Linked DNA regions of Schizosaccharomyces pombe. The protein of the gene in region 2 interacts with the protein of the main gene of each other region in a pairwise test. Each region holds a gene or a part of one and is shown on either strand. Other genes may lie near its edges.

The links.
Region 1: the proteins of crm1 (region 2) and cuf1 interact in a two-hybrid assay, tested with the Schizosaccharomyces pombe proteins (one study listed by BioGRID).

What each region holds. Positions count from the first base shown.
Region 1 is NC_003424.3:406,870-413,822, forward strand, and holds cuf1 (Cu-sensing transcription factor Cuf1), read right to left. Parts: upstream 2,977-6,953; 5' UTR 2,397-2,976; coding exon 1,161-2,396; 3' UTR 845-1,160; downstream 1-844. Other genes in the region: SPOM_SPAC31A2.10 (Ran GTPase binding protein), read left to right, coding at 1-596; rod1 (arrestin/PY protein 1), read left to right, coding at 5,215-6,953. UniProt on the Schizosaccharomyces pombe protein: Copper-sensing transcription factor that regulates iron uptake genes. Under copper starvation conditions activates the transcription of the copper transport genes, ctr4, ctr5 and ctr6.
Region 2 is NC_003424.3:2,800,252-2,810,826, forward strand, and holds crm1 (karyopherin/importin beta family nuclear export signal receptor Crm1), read left to right. Parts: upstream 1-3,672; 5' UTR 3,673-3,870; intron 3,871-4,136; 5' UTR 4,137-4,256; coding exon 4,257-7,493; 3' UTR 7,494-8,002; downstream 8,003-10,575. Other genes in the region: SPOM_SPAC1805.16C (purine nucleoside phosphorylase), read right to left, coding at 702-1,649; transport protein Ugo1, read right to left, coding at 8,291-9,556.

The DNA.
Region 1 (6,953 bases), 2.4 Mb from region 2:
CGTCTGCGCCAGTTTTTGGGAAAAAACTTGAAATAAGTTTACAAAGGATGTCTTTACTTTGTTATACTGTTTCTGGTAGACTGCTTAATATTTCACAAGCTAAATCTCCTGTTCTTGCATTGCAGCTAACATCTATAAAAGACGTATCTGCTTTAGATAAAGCGCATCAGGATAATTCGGAAGATTTAAATAATCCGTTTATTAAAAATAACGATAAAACTAAGTTTCATCAAAATATTGACTGGATAGCTTTAGAGAAATATTTCGAAGTCAATGCATTGGATATTTCAGATTCAGAAAGTGAAGATTTGTCCGACATATTAAGTGATTCTGAATTCTCAATAGGAAACAGAAACAAAAATATTGGAAATAATGAATATAGTGCTCAAATATCATCGGATCCTGCAGAAGAGGAGATAGCTAACGCAATGCACTCTCTAAAGCTTGAACCCGAGACATCCATATATCTGACTAACCCAGGCAGCCTTTCGTTATTGGAATACCTTCTTCGTCTCTGTTCATTGCAAGAACTTCACCAGATTTCTTGTCTTGAAATGACTGATTCTCAGTTGGCTGCGATGTTGAATAGTAACTAAGCACGGGTTAATTTGGATCAACAAGCTCATGTATTTTTACTATTGAACGAAGTTATTTCGAAATAAAATTAATTATTTTTACAGACCTTGTCTACTTAATGACACAATTAACAAACAATCGTTATATTTATAAAATTTTCATAAAAATCGGATATCAGCAATGCTGATTTCAGCCAAAGAACGTATTATTTTATTGTCATGATTAAATGACTTTCAAAATGGACTACTTATCACTTGTACTCGTATCGTTTTTGTCATAATTTTTTTATTAATTCAAATACTTTTTTAAGAAAATGCTAATTAATCCAAGTGACCATAAAAAAATGAATCATTTGTAAAATAATAAACCCTCTTGATAGCATTAACAGTTTATAAATATACAAGATCTACCAAAATCTGAGATTAAATAATAATATATAAGTTTTGCGTGCCACACACTTCATCTATTTAAAGATCAATTTAAGCGTTATACGAAAACAGAAGGAAAGAAAGATGGAGAAAATAAACATAAAGTGCAATAGGTGAGCCAGCTCATACTTATCTTGCAGAAAACTTTTAAAAAATTCATGTTGAACCTGTTGTAATATGAGAAGGAGGAACACTGCTTGAGGTATATAATGGAGAGGATGCTGCTAATTCATCGTTTGTAAGTTCATAATTATTGCTAGAATTAACTTCGTGCTTGAAAGTATGATGGAGATCAGTATGACTTATGGTTTCCTTTTCTAAAGCTGAAATATGATTTAAAGCGGCTAATGTAGTTGCATTGTTTGGATGAGTAAGACAACCTAAGCATTCACAATTATCACCGCATTGACAAGCAGCATCAGCCTGTGCACAACTAGAGGGGAGAGTAAAATAATTAGAAAGCTGGATTGGATGTGGCAGATACGATGAGTCGACATGATTAGTGCTCTCATTTATGTTAATCTCGTACCCATAGGAATTAGAGGGTCCATATGTATTAGTTGATGATGGTAAAGGTACATAATTTCCATCTGCCAGCATAGCGAAAGTCAAAGGAACATCCGGCTGTGGGTATAAATCATGCGTAGCAGCAGCAGCAGCTATAGAATCAGTGTTGTTGTTGTAAAGAATTTGATATCCACTACGATAAACAGGAGGACCATAAACCGCTGCTTCTTCCGCTTCCTGAATACTATGTTGGGGAGAATGAGAATAATTATACTGAATTTCAGGAGGGAAATTGGTCGGCTGCTGGTAAGGAGATTTTAAATAATTATTATAGTTAGGAGGGTAAGCGACATTCGAAGTTAACTTTTCAATTGGCAAAAACTGGGATGGATACCCGTACTCAGACTTGAACTTTTCTGGTTCAGGAAGCATACGATAGGATTCCGAATGTGGTCTTTGAGACTGAAGTGGCATACCCATAAAGTCAGTTTGAGACTCAAGGTTTATTTTAAGAGGCATCACATCAGGTTTTTTACCACAGCACGAAGCACTCCTTTTTGGACAATGCGTTTTAACGTTGTCGCGCGGTAACAGTTTTTCAGATATAGAGGATGGGATAGAACAAGATGAGTTGGAAGCAGATGAAGAATCTAAATCAGTTGTACTCGAGGTAGAACATTTGGAACCCTTTTTTCTGCTATTACAGGTACACTTCACGTGTAAATGCCTAGTAATTCTAGCGATTCTACATTTTTCACATTGACTGATGGGACGACCTTTAGGTCTAATAGGAAAGAGTTCACGGTCATTATGTTTGCAGGTGCTAGAGCGATGCCCACGAATGCACTTCATGCATGCCATTTTAACGTTATTGATTACAACCATTTTGGAATATAGGATGAAAGAGGATTGCTTTAATGACAAGATTTTGGTTAAAACAAATTCACGTTCGAAGATGAATGACCAAATCTCTCAAATGGAAGCTCAATGGGAGGATGTAGAAGTAATGAATAAAACCAAGAAATAAAAATAAAAATAAAAAATATTGGATTATCAAATAAGAAATTAATGAACTTATTTATATAGATGCTTAGTAGAAAAGAAAATCACGAACGAGGAGAGAAGAAAAATTGCATGCGACATTCAGTTTTGGACAACGACGATATTTGGAGCAATTGATTAGTTGAAATTAGCCACTTTTATAAGAATGAAGTGTGTTTCTTTTTTTTTTTTTAAATAAAAAGTAAGTAATTTTTACAGATCAGTAGAACTTTTTTGCTCAAACCTGATAGCAGTGTGATATACTTTCCGGATGAACTTAGGTTCACCAAATTACAACAAAATCGCCCAAAAAGCAGTTTTCAAATATTAATTAACTTAGGAAGCCAAATTTTCCTTTACTAGAAGTATATACAGTGTTCACAATGTTTTATACCAAAGCAGATTTGTTTGGTTGTCGGAAACTGGGTGTTGGCTTAACCACAGCGCAAGCTATGCCTTCCGACAATATGTACGAAGAAGCTGCTTTTTCTGAAGGCAGTAATGATACGTGACAAGTTTGCTTAAAGATTTAAACTAAAGGAAGATCAAACTATTAACAGTTTTAAGATGAAAATCGATTCTCAAGGGATTCGAAAATTTTTTTTTAAATTTATTGAATAAATAAATACATTTAAGAAGACGAGGGTATGACTTTGAAGCTTTTGAGCTGTAATTTGTAATTAAATATACATATTTTTTTCAATTTGTTTAAATTCGTTCATCATGTTAAGTCCTTTATACAGTTTATTTCTTTTATACTTCAAAAATTTATTTCCTAAATTTGATTTTGCCAATTGTGCAACTTTTTACATTACTGTTCGCGATGTAAACATTTAAGATTAAAATTTTTTTTAATTTTAATTTATACAAAGAAAATTTGCTTTAATGTCGCTATTCGAATTTATGAACAAATTTTTTCTCTTTACTTACAGATTATTTTTTGGTTTCCAACTTATACAATTTAGGTACTATTAAAAAATAAAAAATAAAGGATAAAGCTTTATTTAACACCTAGTAACTACGTTAGTACAACTTTCTTTCTTATTACATGCATACGTCTAATTATTTACCCAAACATTTGGTAACCTCCTAACCTGCCTTTGTGGAGAAGTGACTTGACTGCTTTGCTATACAAACTAGCGAAAGTATTACCTTTTTTAAAAATCATTAATGCTCCATTACGTTAATTCAGAGATAGTGTATAATTGTAGCATAACACTGGATCAGATTATTGTAGCAATACGTTAAGTGGGGGGATTGGATTCAGCAGTTGCATTTGATTAGAGGTTTGTAATCTGGGTTTAGTCTTAATTTCTTGTAATTATTCGATGGATACGTAACGATATTTGATATTATAGAAACATCTAAAATAATATTTTTTTTTAATAGCTCTACAAGTTGTGCAACATTTATAACAGAAGCAGGAAACACACTAGCAATGTAAAAAATAATAACAATGAGACGTCAATGATATCCACATCTATAATTCGTAATTGTTCAGAGGCACACTTATAAATTAAAATGAAAATAAACCATTCCTCGATATATATCAGAGTCTTGCGAATTGATTCCAAAAACGGTAATGCATTGTGAATTAAAAGTTTTGCTATAATGATGGAAAGTTCAATGAGGCTATAGAAAGCGAGTCACACTACACGAGATTCAAATAATAATACCAAAAAGGTGCTATTGACTATTAAGCGTGTCTCAGGATTACTGTCCTTTACTAATCATAAAGCTTATTAAATATTTGGTTAACACTCAAAACTCAAACTTTTAATGCTGTATTATTCTAGCCACTCATATTTGCTATATTGTATTTGTACAATGTGGGATACTTAATTTCAATTAAACTGAAGATTAAGTTGTGCTAATGTTTATAGAGTAGAGGGGTTAGTTAAGAAAGGAGTTTGTTATATATCGATGGTGAATGAGAGTCGATTGAAGGTATCAATAAACAGCAAAAAACTGAAAAATTCAAACGCATAGCACTTATTTTTACTATGTGATGTTTAAGAAAAAATGTAATGAAAAGTTTAAAGTGGGGAAAGAAGGTTCTTACCAATATTCTGCACATCTGTCTCTAGTAAAACCCAATAACGTACCTTGTCCACTGAATCAAGCTTGCCCGGGTATTTCGTTGCATAGCTATGAATGAGGGATACGAAAACAGTCCCGCTTAATATATAAAAAACACGACTATTTTAAAAATTTTATTTACTTCGTACAAACTAGTGAAACATCTAAAATTGTTTAAAATTTACACAATAGTGTGTATAACGAAACTAGCTAAACTTTGTTTATGTAATGTGAGAAAGTATGTAATACTATATTACAGCAGGTTGCTTATAAAAACGTCACCACACAACAGTCCTTTAACCTTCGCTTTGTCTACATTATTGAAGTTATAAACCCCAAGAAAAAGTATTTTTGCATTTTTGTATACACAAATCAAATTTTAAGGGAAATTTTTTAACACGGTACTTTTCGTTTTTTTGTCTAATTGTTTCAGGGTAGTACATTCTCAAATAATCCAAAGCCGGGGTCTTTTGGGTTGTAATAGTTATTTACATAAAATTGTTGACTAAATATTTCAGAGAGAATTCATTATTCTTACTTTTGAATCCCTTTTCAAATATAAAATTGGTTCCTTGTGTTAGAGATGAATATTCTCTCAAGGAAAGAAAATGTCGCTTCCTACTTCGATATTCGTGTAGCTGCAGAGCATGATCTTATCGTAATTCAAGGCCTAGCAGACTCGGCAGAACCGACACCACTGTCAGGATCTGTAGTTCTGTGTCTCAATGAAGCCATCAGTGTCAAAGCAATATCTCTAAAACTAGTGGGAAAATGTCGCATCTCCTGGTCAGAACCTTCTCCGACTGTAAGAGGCGGCCAAAGACACAATAAGCAAGAATATGTTGTTTACGAGAAAAACTGGATCTTCGTTCCTTATACGGGTGCCAACCGTACTTTACGTGCTGGAAACTACGAGTATCCGTTTCACGTAATGCTTCCCGGTGATATTGCTGAATCTGTCGAAGGTCTTCAAAGTTGCTATGTTGTTTATCGTCTTAAAGCAAGCATCGATAGAACGGGTTTAGCTAGCAAAATGGTGAAAAAGAAACACATCCGTCTTATTCGAGCATTGCCTGCGGATGCCATTGAATATACTCAAACCATTAGCGTTGATAATACTTGGCCAAACAAAATTGAGTATACCATCAGCGTTCCAACAAAAGCCTATGCAATTGGGTCATATATTCCCATTCATTTTGTATTAGTTCCGTTGCTGAAGAGGCTAACTATTGGAAAAATCAGTATAACCTTGAAAGAATACATCACGTTGCATGTCGCTCATGGATATAACGGTTTACCGGCATCGAAAGATGAAGTCAGGACCGTTCGTTCTCTTCAAACCGAAGAATTGGAGGAGTTTTCCGATCACTATGAACTTACAAAGAACTTGGAACTACCAAGTTCTCTTGTGGAATGTCTTCAGGATTGTGATTTGGATGGAATTAAAATACGTCACAAATTAAAGTTTTCCGTTTCCCTAAGAAATCCTGATGGCCATATATCAGAATTAAGAGCTGCATTACCTGTAGTCTTGATGATACCTCCTCAATTATTTGGCGATCGTGCCGAAGTAGAGTCGTTACGCGAGAATTTTGAAAGTTTTAATCAGCCTTTACCTAGCTATCAAAACAGCATGTATGATCGTCTTTACGATGGTTTGAGCTATTCCAACCTTGATACACCTCTCCCTAGTGGCGCAACTACACCAAGGCGACGCGATTCTATGGAGCCCACCTATGCTTCTAATGAAGCTCATAGGCGACAACTCATTGCTGGTTTGACAGAGTTGGCTCTACAACAACAACCGCAAGGAAGGAGCCCCAACGAACATTCACCGTCAAATCATCCTGAAGATTTCCCGCCTTCTTTCAGTTTAGGCTCTAATCCATCCAGTGGAGCTGCCTCTGCTGTAATTACTAGAAACCCTTCAGAAACTAGTTTGGCAGATCTGAGCAGAGTCCCTTCTTATAAGGAAGCAACAAGATCAGCCGTTCCATTAGAATCACCCTTACAATCAACATTACCTAGTTATGAAGATGTTGCACGAATTGAGCACCTTTCACGTCCTCCATCACCTGGTATCGTTACTCCACCACAACGTACATCTCCTTCATTTTTTGTTTCTCCAACTGAAAGTACACGACAATCCTTGGATAGTCGTAGGTCATTCGAACACTCCACATCTTCTTCTTCGGGTATAAGCCCATCTCACAGTAGTGCTTCTTTAGCTCATCTTTCTCAAGCCTCCAATCCAAATGGATCGTCTTCTGCCCCGCATAGGCCCACATCAGCTCGTGTAGGAAGTCACCGAAACGCACTAGA
Region 2 (10,575 bases):
AAGAAAACCAATTCCTTCGAATGCAGGTTATATTAATTGGTCTTTTAATCTTCTTAATGCAAGACCAAATCTTAATACATAAAATGTAAAAAAAGGACTGAATTTTGCGAGCAATTCGAAGAAAACTTGCTTTCAATAATATGGTGGAAAAAGATGAAACAATTACGGATCCAAGAGAGATTGGTAAACTACCATAAATTTGATTAGCGAAATGTTTTTGGACCGCGTTATTTTTTTGAAAGGGTATTGCGATAGTGGTAGAAGGATATCGTTACAATAAGAAAGCAACAGGTTTATTATCAAAAAGTTTTAAGGCAATATGACTCTAAATTAATAATTTAAGAAATTTGAAGCGAAATGTATCATTAACTATAAAAAAATAAGTCTAGAGGTGACCAGGGAACTTTGTATACTAAAAACAAATATTTCCTAATTGGTGTTTGGAAAATAACACAAACGACATTTAGGAAATATTGTCTAGTGAGTTCGTTTAAAGAAAGCAAGAAACGGTTATTGATGAGTAAAAGGATATTTTGGAAAAGATATTGAATGGCAACAAAACATCTAATTTACAGACATCAAAATAAGCGAAATGACTAGGATATATATCCTACGTTAGATAAATAAAATAGCTTAAAAGGATGTATAACAGATAAAGGAAATTTTTATTCTGGATAAAAAAGATTGTCAAAGAGGAGTGATTAAATAAAATTGACAATCGTCTCCACCATGGTACGAACATCGGCCGCGGCAGCGATACCAACTTCCAAAACCTCCAAGTGATTTGCAGCACCCTTAGACATGACATTCGAATCAACCTCCACTAAGTCTTTGGCAGAGGGGCTCTCTTCAACAACAACGTTGTTGGTAACCAAAGAAATGGCAAGAACACGAATACCACAATGACGCGCAACGACTACTTCGGGAACCGTAGACATGCCGACACAATCAGCTCCCATAAGAGCAAGCATTCGACTTTCAGCGCGAGTCTCAAAACACGGACCAGATACAAATGCATAACAACCTTCGTGAATTGTACGGCTAACCTTGTGAGCCTTGGCAGCATCGTAAACCAATTTTCGTAATTCTAAATCATAAGCATCCGATAATGGGGGGAAACGTACACCAAATTCGTGTGCATTAGGGCCTCTGAGAGGGTTCATGCCCGCGAGGCCAGGAAAATTGATGTGATCTTTAAGAATCATCAAATCACCAACTTTGAAACCTTGATTCAAGCCGCCAGCTGCGTTGGTAACAACCATGACTTCAACGCCCATGACTTTCATAAGACGAACAGGAAACGTGGTAGCTTCTATAGGATATCCCTCATAAGAGTGGTAACGACCAGCCAAAATCATAGTGGGAACGCGTTTCTCGCCCAAAAAGGCAAAGTACAATTTGGATGCGTGACCTGGAACATGGGAAACATGAAAGTGAGGAATATCTTCATAAGGAACTTCATAAACTGGAGCCGACAATCCAGAGGCTAATGTGCCCAAACCGCTACCGCAAATGATGGCAACTTTGGGCTTGGAAAGCTCTTCGGGGACTTGTTCAATGATGTATTCACGAGCCTCAAGCGCTTTAATGTAAGGTTCAGTATGATGGGGTTGCTGTTTTGCCTGGTGAAGAAAAGATGTAGCAGTCATTGTTGTTACAGAAGAGTTTCGAAAAAAAAAACAGAAATTTTGTATAAAAAAAGAAAGCAAGAACTAATATCTAAAAGGGAATTCTTTATCTTTAATATTTATTAGGCGTATTAGTAGCCAGGAAAAAGAATTTAAGGAATTTTAAAAATATGCAGTGGTGGGTAAATAGGGCCGATAGAATCAGTGTTAATTTGTTTTGAAAATTAGATGGGAAAATCGATAGCAATAACAATACTAACTGAAATACAAACAATAGAATGCACAGAGTTTTGAATAATGTGCAAGCAAAGACGAAGAGCTGGGAGTATCTTGGCAATTGACCTTTATAGAATATCAAAACAAAATAGTAAAAAATAAATAGAAAACGACGATTTTTTGGCACACACTTGATGCTATGCTTAATTTAATTTTGTTTTGTTTTTGTTTTTTGCTGAATATATGTGTAATAAAATTAATATTAGCCGTGAGAACAGAGTAATTGGAAAACACAGAATTGAATCCAACAATTGTTACAGGGAATTAAGTAAGAAATGGTCTATATAAATACTTCTACAAATGTTATTACTTCAACATATCACAGAAAAGCAGAAACCGGTATTACAAAAAGTCACCGAAATACATAATTTATATACGGGCTTTGGCAAACAAATGCGATATTTAGGACAGTGCTGGTCGGATGAAAGCGCCTATCAATTCAAATTTTCTTCGTGCTTGATAAGGAAATGTTGCAGATAAGAATAATGAAAAAGAAGAAAAAAAAAGAATAAACAAAAGCAAAATGTTCAACAAATTTGAAAAAAATTTAGTTCAACTGTAAATCAAAAACACGTTAATTTTACATTTAAAAATGTAAAATATAATGCGGCCAGAGAGGTTCGAACTCTCGCGTTTTACAACAGCAGGGATCAAGGCAGAAGCCTCTTAAATCTGCCCCCTTAGACCACTCGGGCATAGCCGCTTAATTGTACAAACTAATTAAATAGAGGTATATATCTATAAAAATAGTTGCGTGTACTGTAAATTGTCTGGGTTTATTAGAGTATATGTACACAACCTGACTAAAATCGTATAAATTAGTTAAAAAAAATGCATTGGATTTTTTATACCTTGAGAGCCATGCCAACTCCAAAGGTCAATATTTGGTTTAATGATTTTTTTTTCCTTCCCTTTTCTTTATTTAACACACTAAATGTCGGGTAACTGCGAGTTAATAACGAACATGATCAGTTTAATTCAATTTTCATTCTTTTCTATTTCCATATAGAATTGTGGCTGTAACCGCGAAGCATTTCATACGGAAAGTCGCCTTTATTTACATAAGCAACATCTTTGTTGTGTGGCTATAGGAGTTAAAGCAAAAAAGGCGAATTACTAAAGCACAATGAAATGGCAAATCTTTAGTAATAAGTATATTATTTCGTGCCGATGTTCCATAAACTTGGTTAAAATAATTTGGAAACATGATTCTAGCTGTAATTCAATTTTTTTAAATTCATAACAATTTTTAATTTACTGAATGATAAACTTTCCTTCTGTTTTGATTTACTCGTTGACTTGTAAATTGATAATTAAACCATAAAATACCTAATAATTCATAATAAAAAAATTTAAAAAAATAAATTGATGTTTTTCAAATGACCTGTCTTTGCTAAATACTTCAAAACAAACAAACAGAAAAATCCACGTACGACACATTTATTTCTGGTTTAAACGCGGACGTTACGATCAAATTCTTACCGCATTTCTCCCATTCACGGAAACGACCGAACGTCTTACCGGAGGAAGTAAATTTTGTTTCAAAACTAATACCATTTTTTTAAAAAATTGCAATCTGCTGATACACTCAGTTTTATCGCCATCATTCTCGTTCCATTTTATGTTTACTTCATTCCCATCAATTTCTGCCTATAATCACGTTGTTAAATTTCCTTAAAATAGATAACGCAAAACGATTGGATACGCTGCATGCTTGCTATTCTTCTTCGTGTTTCTTTGCCAGCCTTGCGGCCACACCTTTTACCTCCAACACAACACTTGTTCTTTTGCATTTCTACCCTGGGACGTTAGGCAGTAGCCTTTAACTGTATACATTCTTTCATTCTCTTGTTTCCATTGAGTACAAGACAAATTTCTATCGCGTGAAGCATCTCTTGGGACGAGGAATTTCGTTATAAACAAGAGAATTTGGAATATTTATTTGGTTTTTATTTATAGTAAGGAGGTAAGCACTTTGAACGCTCGTGTAGATACGTGTTATTTTCCTTGGTCTTCTTTTAGGAAGGATCTTGTTATCTTTCGATTTCCTGTTCTTCGATCTCTTGTTTGAGTTAATTATTGTTTTTTCTCTATTATTTTTGCAAGGGAGGAGTAATTAATCAGCAAGTAGGAGATTAAAAATTTATATTATTTTGTTTCTATTCGATAAAATTAATTTTTCTTCTACTTTTTTTTATTTTTTTTTTCAAATTTCTAACTTGATTGCTGAAGTCCTTTATACATATACAATCGCATAAGGTTGAGGTAATTATCCTTTTCTTTTTACTTAAGACATTTGTTCAATACGTTGCCAACCATCAATTTACATTTTTTGCTTTTTGATTTGTAAATATGGAGGGCATCCTGGCATTCGATCGCGAATTAGACGTTGCCCTTTTGGATCGTGTTGTCCAAACCTTTTACCAAGGTGTCGGTGCAGAGCAACAACAGGCTCAACAAGTCCTGACCCAATTTCAGGCACATCCAGATGCATGGTCGCAGGCTTACTCCATCTTGGAAAAATCAGAATATCCCCAAACTAAATATATCGCTCTTTCCGTCCTTGACAAGCTTATCACCACTCGTTGGAAAATGCTTCCCAAGGAGCAGCGATTGGGAATTCGCAATTATATTGTTGCTGTTATGATAAAGAACTCGTCAGACGAAACTGTCCTGCAACAACAAAAAACTTTTCTTAATAAATTGGACCTCACTCTCGTTCAGATTCTTAAACAAGAATGGCCTCATAATTGGCCCAACTTCATCCCGGAAATTGTCCAAGCCAGTAAAACAAACCTTTCACTTTGTGAAAATAACATGATAGTCCTTCGTCTTCTGAGTGAAGAAATTTTTGATTACTCAGCTGAGCAAATGACTCAGCTCAAAACCAAAAATTTAAAAAACCAAATGTGTGGCGAATTCGCCGAGATTTTTCAACTATGCTCACAAATTCTCGAACGTGCGCAAAAACCTAGCCTAATCAAGGCTACCTTGGGAACACTTCTCCGATTTTTGAATTGGATACCCCTTGGCTATATATTTGAAACAAACATTGTTGAGTTAATTACAAATCGATTCCTAAATGTTCCTGATTTTAGAAACGTTACCATTGAATGTCTTACCGAAATAGCTAGTCTTACTTCTCAACCTCAGTACAACGATAAATTTGTTACAATGTTTAACCTTGTGATGACCTCTGTTAATTCTATGCTTCCTTTACAAACTGATTTTCGTGAGGCTTATGAAGAAAGTAGCACAAACGAGCAAGACTTTATCCAAAATTTGGCTCTCTTCCTTTGCGCTTTCTTTAGCTCTCATCTTCGACCATTAGAAAATCCTGAAAATCAAGAAGTCCTTCTTAATGCTCATTCCTACCTTCTTAATATCTCGCGAATTAACGAGCGAGAAATTTTCAAGATCTGCCTGGAATATTGGTCAAAATTAGTAGCTCAGCTTTATGAAGAAATGCAGCAAATCCCCATGTCTGAAATGAATCCATTACTTAATCTTTCTAGTCCTACATCTCTCATTTCTTCTAATCCTAATATGTTAGCCAATCTTCCTTTAAGGAAACATATCTATAAAGATATACTTTCAACTCTTCGATTGGTTATGATTGAAAACATGGTCAAGCCCGAAGAAGTCCTCATCGTCGAAAATGACGAAGGTGAAATTGTTCGTGAATTTGTTAAAGAGACGGATACAATTACCCTTTATAAATCTATGCGTGAGGTTCTTGTGTACCTCACTCACTTGGACGTGGTTGATACTGAAATCGTTATGACTGAAAAACTTGCACGTATTGTTGTTGGTACAGAATGGTCTTGGCAAAATTTGAATACTCTTTGTTGGGCAATCGGCTCAATATCCGGTGCTATGAATGAAGAAATGGAAAAGCGCTTTCTTGTTAACGTGATTAAAGATTTATTGGGCCTTTGTGAAATGAAACGTGGCAAAGATAATAAGGCTGTTGTTGCCTCTAACATTATGTACGTTGTAGGTCAATATCCTCGCTTTTTAAAAGCTCATTGGAAATTTCTCAAGACCGTCGTCAATAAGCTATTTGAGTTTATGCACGAATATCATGAAGGTGTTCAGGATATGGCTTGTGATACATTCATTAAGATTGCTCAAAAATGTCGTCGCCATTTTGTTGCTCAACAACTGGGAGAAACGGAGCCGTTTATCAACGAAATTATTCGTAACTTGGCCAAGACGACTGAAGATTTAACTCCTCAACAGACTCATACTTTTTATGAGGCGTGCGGTTATATGATTTCTGCTCAACCTCAAAAACATCTTCAAGAACGTCTCATTTTTGACCTTATGGCGTTACCCAATCAGGCCTGGGAAAATATTGTCGCTCAGGCTGCACAAAACGCTCAAGTTTTAGGGGACCCTCAGACCGTTAAAATATTAGCAAATGTTCTAAAGACAAACGTTGCTGCATGTACTTCTATTGGTTCCGGTTTCTATCCTCAAATTGCTAAAAATTATGTAGATATGCTTGGTCTTTACAAGGCTGTTAGCGGTTTAATATCAGAAGTGGTTGCTGCCCAAGGAAATATTGCTACCAAAACTCCCCACGTCAGGGGATTACGAACTATCAAAAAAGAAATTTTGAAATTAGTAGATGCTTATATAAGTCGAGCGGAAGATTTGGAGTTGGTCGGAAATACTCTCATTCCTGCGCTTTTCGAAGCAGTGTTGCTTGATTATTTACAAAATGTTCCTGACGCTCGTGATGCCGAAGTTCTTAATTTGATAACCACCATTGTCAATCAACTTAGCGAACTCCTTACTGATAAGATTCCTCTTGTTCTTGATGCTGTTTTTGGATGCACCCTTGAAATGATTAGTAAAGATTTTTCGGAATACCCCGAACATCGTGCAGCATTTTTTCAACTTTTACGCGCCATTAACTTGAATTGTTTCCCCGCTTTGCTCAACATCCCGGCACCACAATTCAAACTAGTGATCAATAGTATTGTATGGTCCTTTAAGCATGTTAGTCGCGACATTCAAGAAACCGGACTTAACATCTTACTTGAACTTATTAATAACATGGCGAGTATGGGACCTGATGTTTCAAATGCATTTTTCCAAACTTATTATATTAGCTTACTACAAGATATATTGTATGTTTTGACTGACTCTGATCACAAATCTGGCTTTAAGCTTCAAAGCTTAATTTTGGCTCGGCTTTTCTATCTGGTTGAATCAAACCAGATTACTGTACCTCTCTACGATCCTTCTCAATTCCCCCAGGAAATGAACAATCAATTATTTTTAAGACAGTATATCATGAATCTACTAGTCACAGCTTTCCCCCATCTTCAACCTATCCAAATCCAAGAATTTGTACAGACAGTGCTAGCTCTTAATCAGGACAGCATCAAATTTAAACTTGCTTTACGTGACTTTTTAATTCAATTGAAAGAATTCGGCGGGGATAACGCTGAACTTTACTTGGAGGAGAAAGAACAAGAGTTGGCTGCTCAACAAAAAGCCCAACTGGAGAAAGCTATGACTGTTCCTGGTATGATCAAACCTGTCGATATGCCTACTATGGAGGAGGAAGAACTATGATATTCTTCAGCAAAAACGTATTTAAGCTTAGAACTTTAAAATATGAAAGGAATTATATATTTGGTATCTTTTACTATTGACTTAATTGTGGATGTTATTTATCCCTGTTACTTGAGAAGTTTACTTAATTCCTTTTTTTTCTTTTTTTTTTTTTTGAAAAGCAAGAAGGGTTTTTGACATGACATGGCCCGTAATTCAACGTGTTAGATAGCAAAATGATGGCGCCAGTTGTTATTGATTGCAATTCAAACTATATAAAAAAGTAATAAAAAAGCATAAAGTCTTTAGAGATTCAACTTTCCGTGCAGTGTTGTAAATTAGAAAATTAAAGCATTGTAAGGATTTGGGTTGCCTCATTTTTTATACTGTTTATAAATTGAACGAGCAGCTATACTTGAATAACACTATGAAGTCTCGTGTAAGAGATCTCAATGCGACGTTGAAGTCCTTTTTATTGAATGCTGGCGTTATGCAACCTTGCTAAAGGAAACACCAACGTATTTTCACATAACTACGTTTTTGCTTCTAGAAAATGTATTATTACCTTTAATAAATTATGTAGCTACTACTATTCCGTTAGAGAATACGGTAAGAAAGAAAAACGAAAACATTAAACATAAATCAAACTTACAACTACAAATATGACTATTCGTGTAGTAATTTGGAATAAAAAAAATTCCAAATTACAAAACATCACCTAACTAAAACCTTTTTGAGAATTCCGTAATTTACCATGTGAACTTTCGTCTCTTCTGACTTTGTCTAATAAACAGACAATCAGACCCAAAACCTGAATACTAAAATTCAACTTCTTCACGCAAATTAGAGGAGATGTAGTTCAATGCTAAGGTACTCGACATTCCCCAAATACCCACTCGCCATCCACGATACAAACCTTCTATTCCAAATTTACCCGGATCTTCTTCGCTTAAAAGACACCATATGGTACCGACGATACCAGTGTATTTGCCTACGGGAACGATAGTTTGGGGTGGAAGGTTGCATTCATACTGGGCTTGTGCTCTTCGAAGTACCATTTCTAAAGGGCATTTGAGAAGAAATTGAACGGCTGAAGTGCCCAAGCCAACCATTGCATCAAGTGTAGGAGATGAGCCCAAAAAGTTGCGGAATGTTAGTGGAAGCACACTCGAAACAAATGGTGGTAAGCTGACATAACAAACTGTGGGTAAAATTAACGATGAAGGGCAGTAAAAAGGCAATGCTTTCAAGCATTGTCTGATAGTAAGAGGTTTAAATTTTTTATGCGAATTGCCAGAAGTTTCAGAAGCTGAAGACAAATAGGAAGATGAGGAAATGGGGAAAAGAATTATTTTTGTTCTGGCAATATCAAGGGGAGATAGAATAAGAGCAGAGATCGCAGAAGTAATGGATTTGATGAAAAGGGAAAGAAGAGGCCGAACAGAATCTATAGGTGAAATAATGTTTGGATCTGCTATTGCGAGAGCTCCAGATAATGTTGCCGAAAGCCAGGACTGTAGGCCGGAATAAAGTAAGTTATGCAAAAAGCTGATTGTATGACCTTTCCATAAACCCCTAGCTCCTTCTTTCTCCCATAGCTCACTAATGATACTTTTAATCGAAAATCTTTTCGAATGAATTGTATAGCTTCTCTCGATGAGATTCGAAGGATCAGTTACATAGCCAGACGCATCGACGCAAAGTTTCTCAGCTAGCTGTTCTGTTACTGCCTTTTCTGTGGTAGGTGTTTCAAAGTAAGCATAGATTTCGTGTTCATCATCACTGAGACCTTCCTGTTCTGTGCCATCGGGAATATCCTCATCATAAGGCTCCTTTGTTTGTTTCCCATCACGCTCAATTTTAGTTCGTTTTGGTAAATATTCTTCTACTTGACAGACAGTTTTTGCTACTTCCAATGGCTGTACAAAAAACGTCGTTAAATATTTGGTCACTAGAATACTTCTGAGTGTCTCAAAAATCTCACTCTTGCTTATGGTCGGTTGCGTCTCAAACGTTGGTTCTGGAGTTATCGAAAAAGTAGGCTCAACATTGTTAACCACGACATATGGTCTGTATGGATTCATGCTGTATGCTTGCTCTTTTCCAAAATGAGTTCTCCAAACTCGTTTACGAATGATTCAATATATAGATTTAACTGCAAATAATTTCAAAAATTGCTTAGCTTTGGATAAAAAATTAATAAAAGAAGTCGTTAACCTTCATCAATCCTTTGAATTCTGGTAAATTAACAAACTTTTTGGTACCAAAGTGTGATGGCTTATAGTAAGGTATCACCAACTTGAAGGTATGATACGCACAGAAAGCAATGGACCCAAAAGTTACTATACACCAAATTCTGCAAAATATTATTACGACAATCACTAGACATTATTAAAAAATCTACTAAATTATCTTAATGAAAATTGGTAACAACTCAAGAACAAACAGTTAAGTTTGCTGTGCGCCTGCTTTGAAAATGAAAATCAATAACTGGACGTACAATCCAATAATAAATGTTTTATACTTACATTTCAATTCAAATTGTCAAACACAAAAATGCAAATCTTATATCTCCACAATGACTAAAAGCAAGAATTTAAAACTAAAACACTTCAAAAACGACCATACAAAGTCGGTTCAATACATGCACAAATAGTTGTTGAAAGCACATACATAAGTATATATATCTATATTTATATAATGATCATCCTTCAAATGCCATTCAACTCATTCTGATCCACTGAAACAACAAACCAAAGTTTACGCGAGCAATTAATACATGATAGACGATAATAATATGTACATTAAGGTAAATGCCTATCAAACTCACAAGTAAAAGAATATGAGAAAACTTTGTAGAAAGTTAGGAAAAAAGGAACACGTAGAAAAAGGAGCGTTCCATCGAGCTTGAAATATCCGTCCAAACTTTACTAACTTTTGTTCAAGTAGATTGGGGTTGTTTTAGAAACAAGAAATTATTACTTTGAACTAGACGCAAACCACACGAACTAGACAAAAGATGTTAAAAAGAATGGAAATATTTGGCAGAAAGGAAAAGAACTCGAAACGCGACGCATCCCTAATTATCGAATGGTAAATAGAA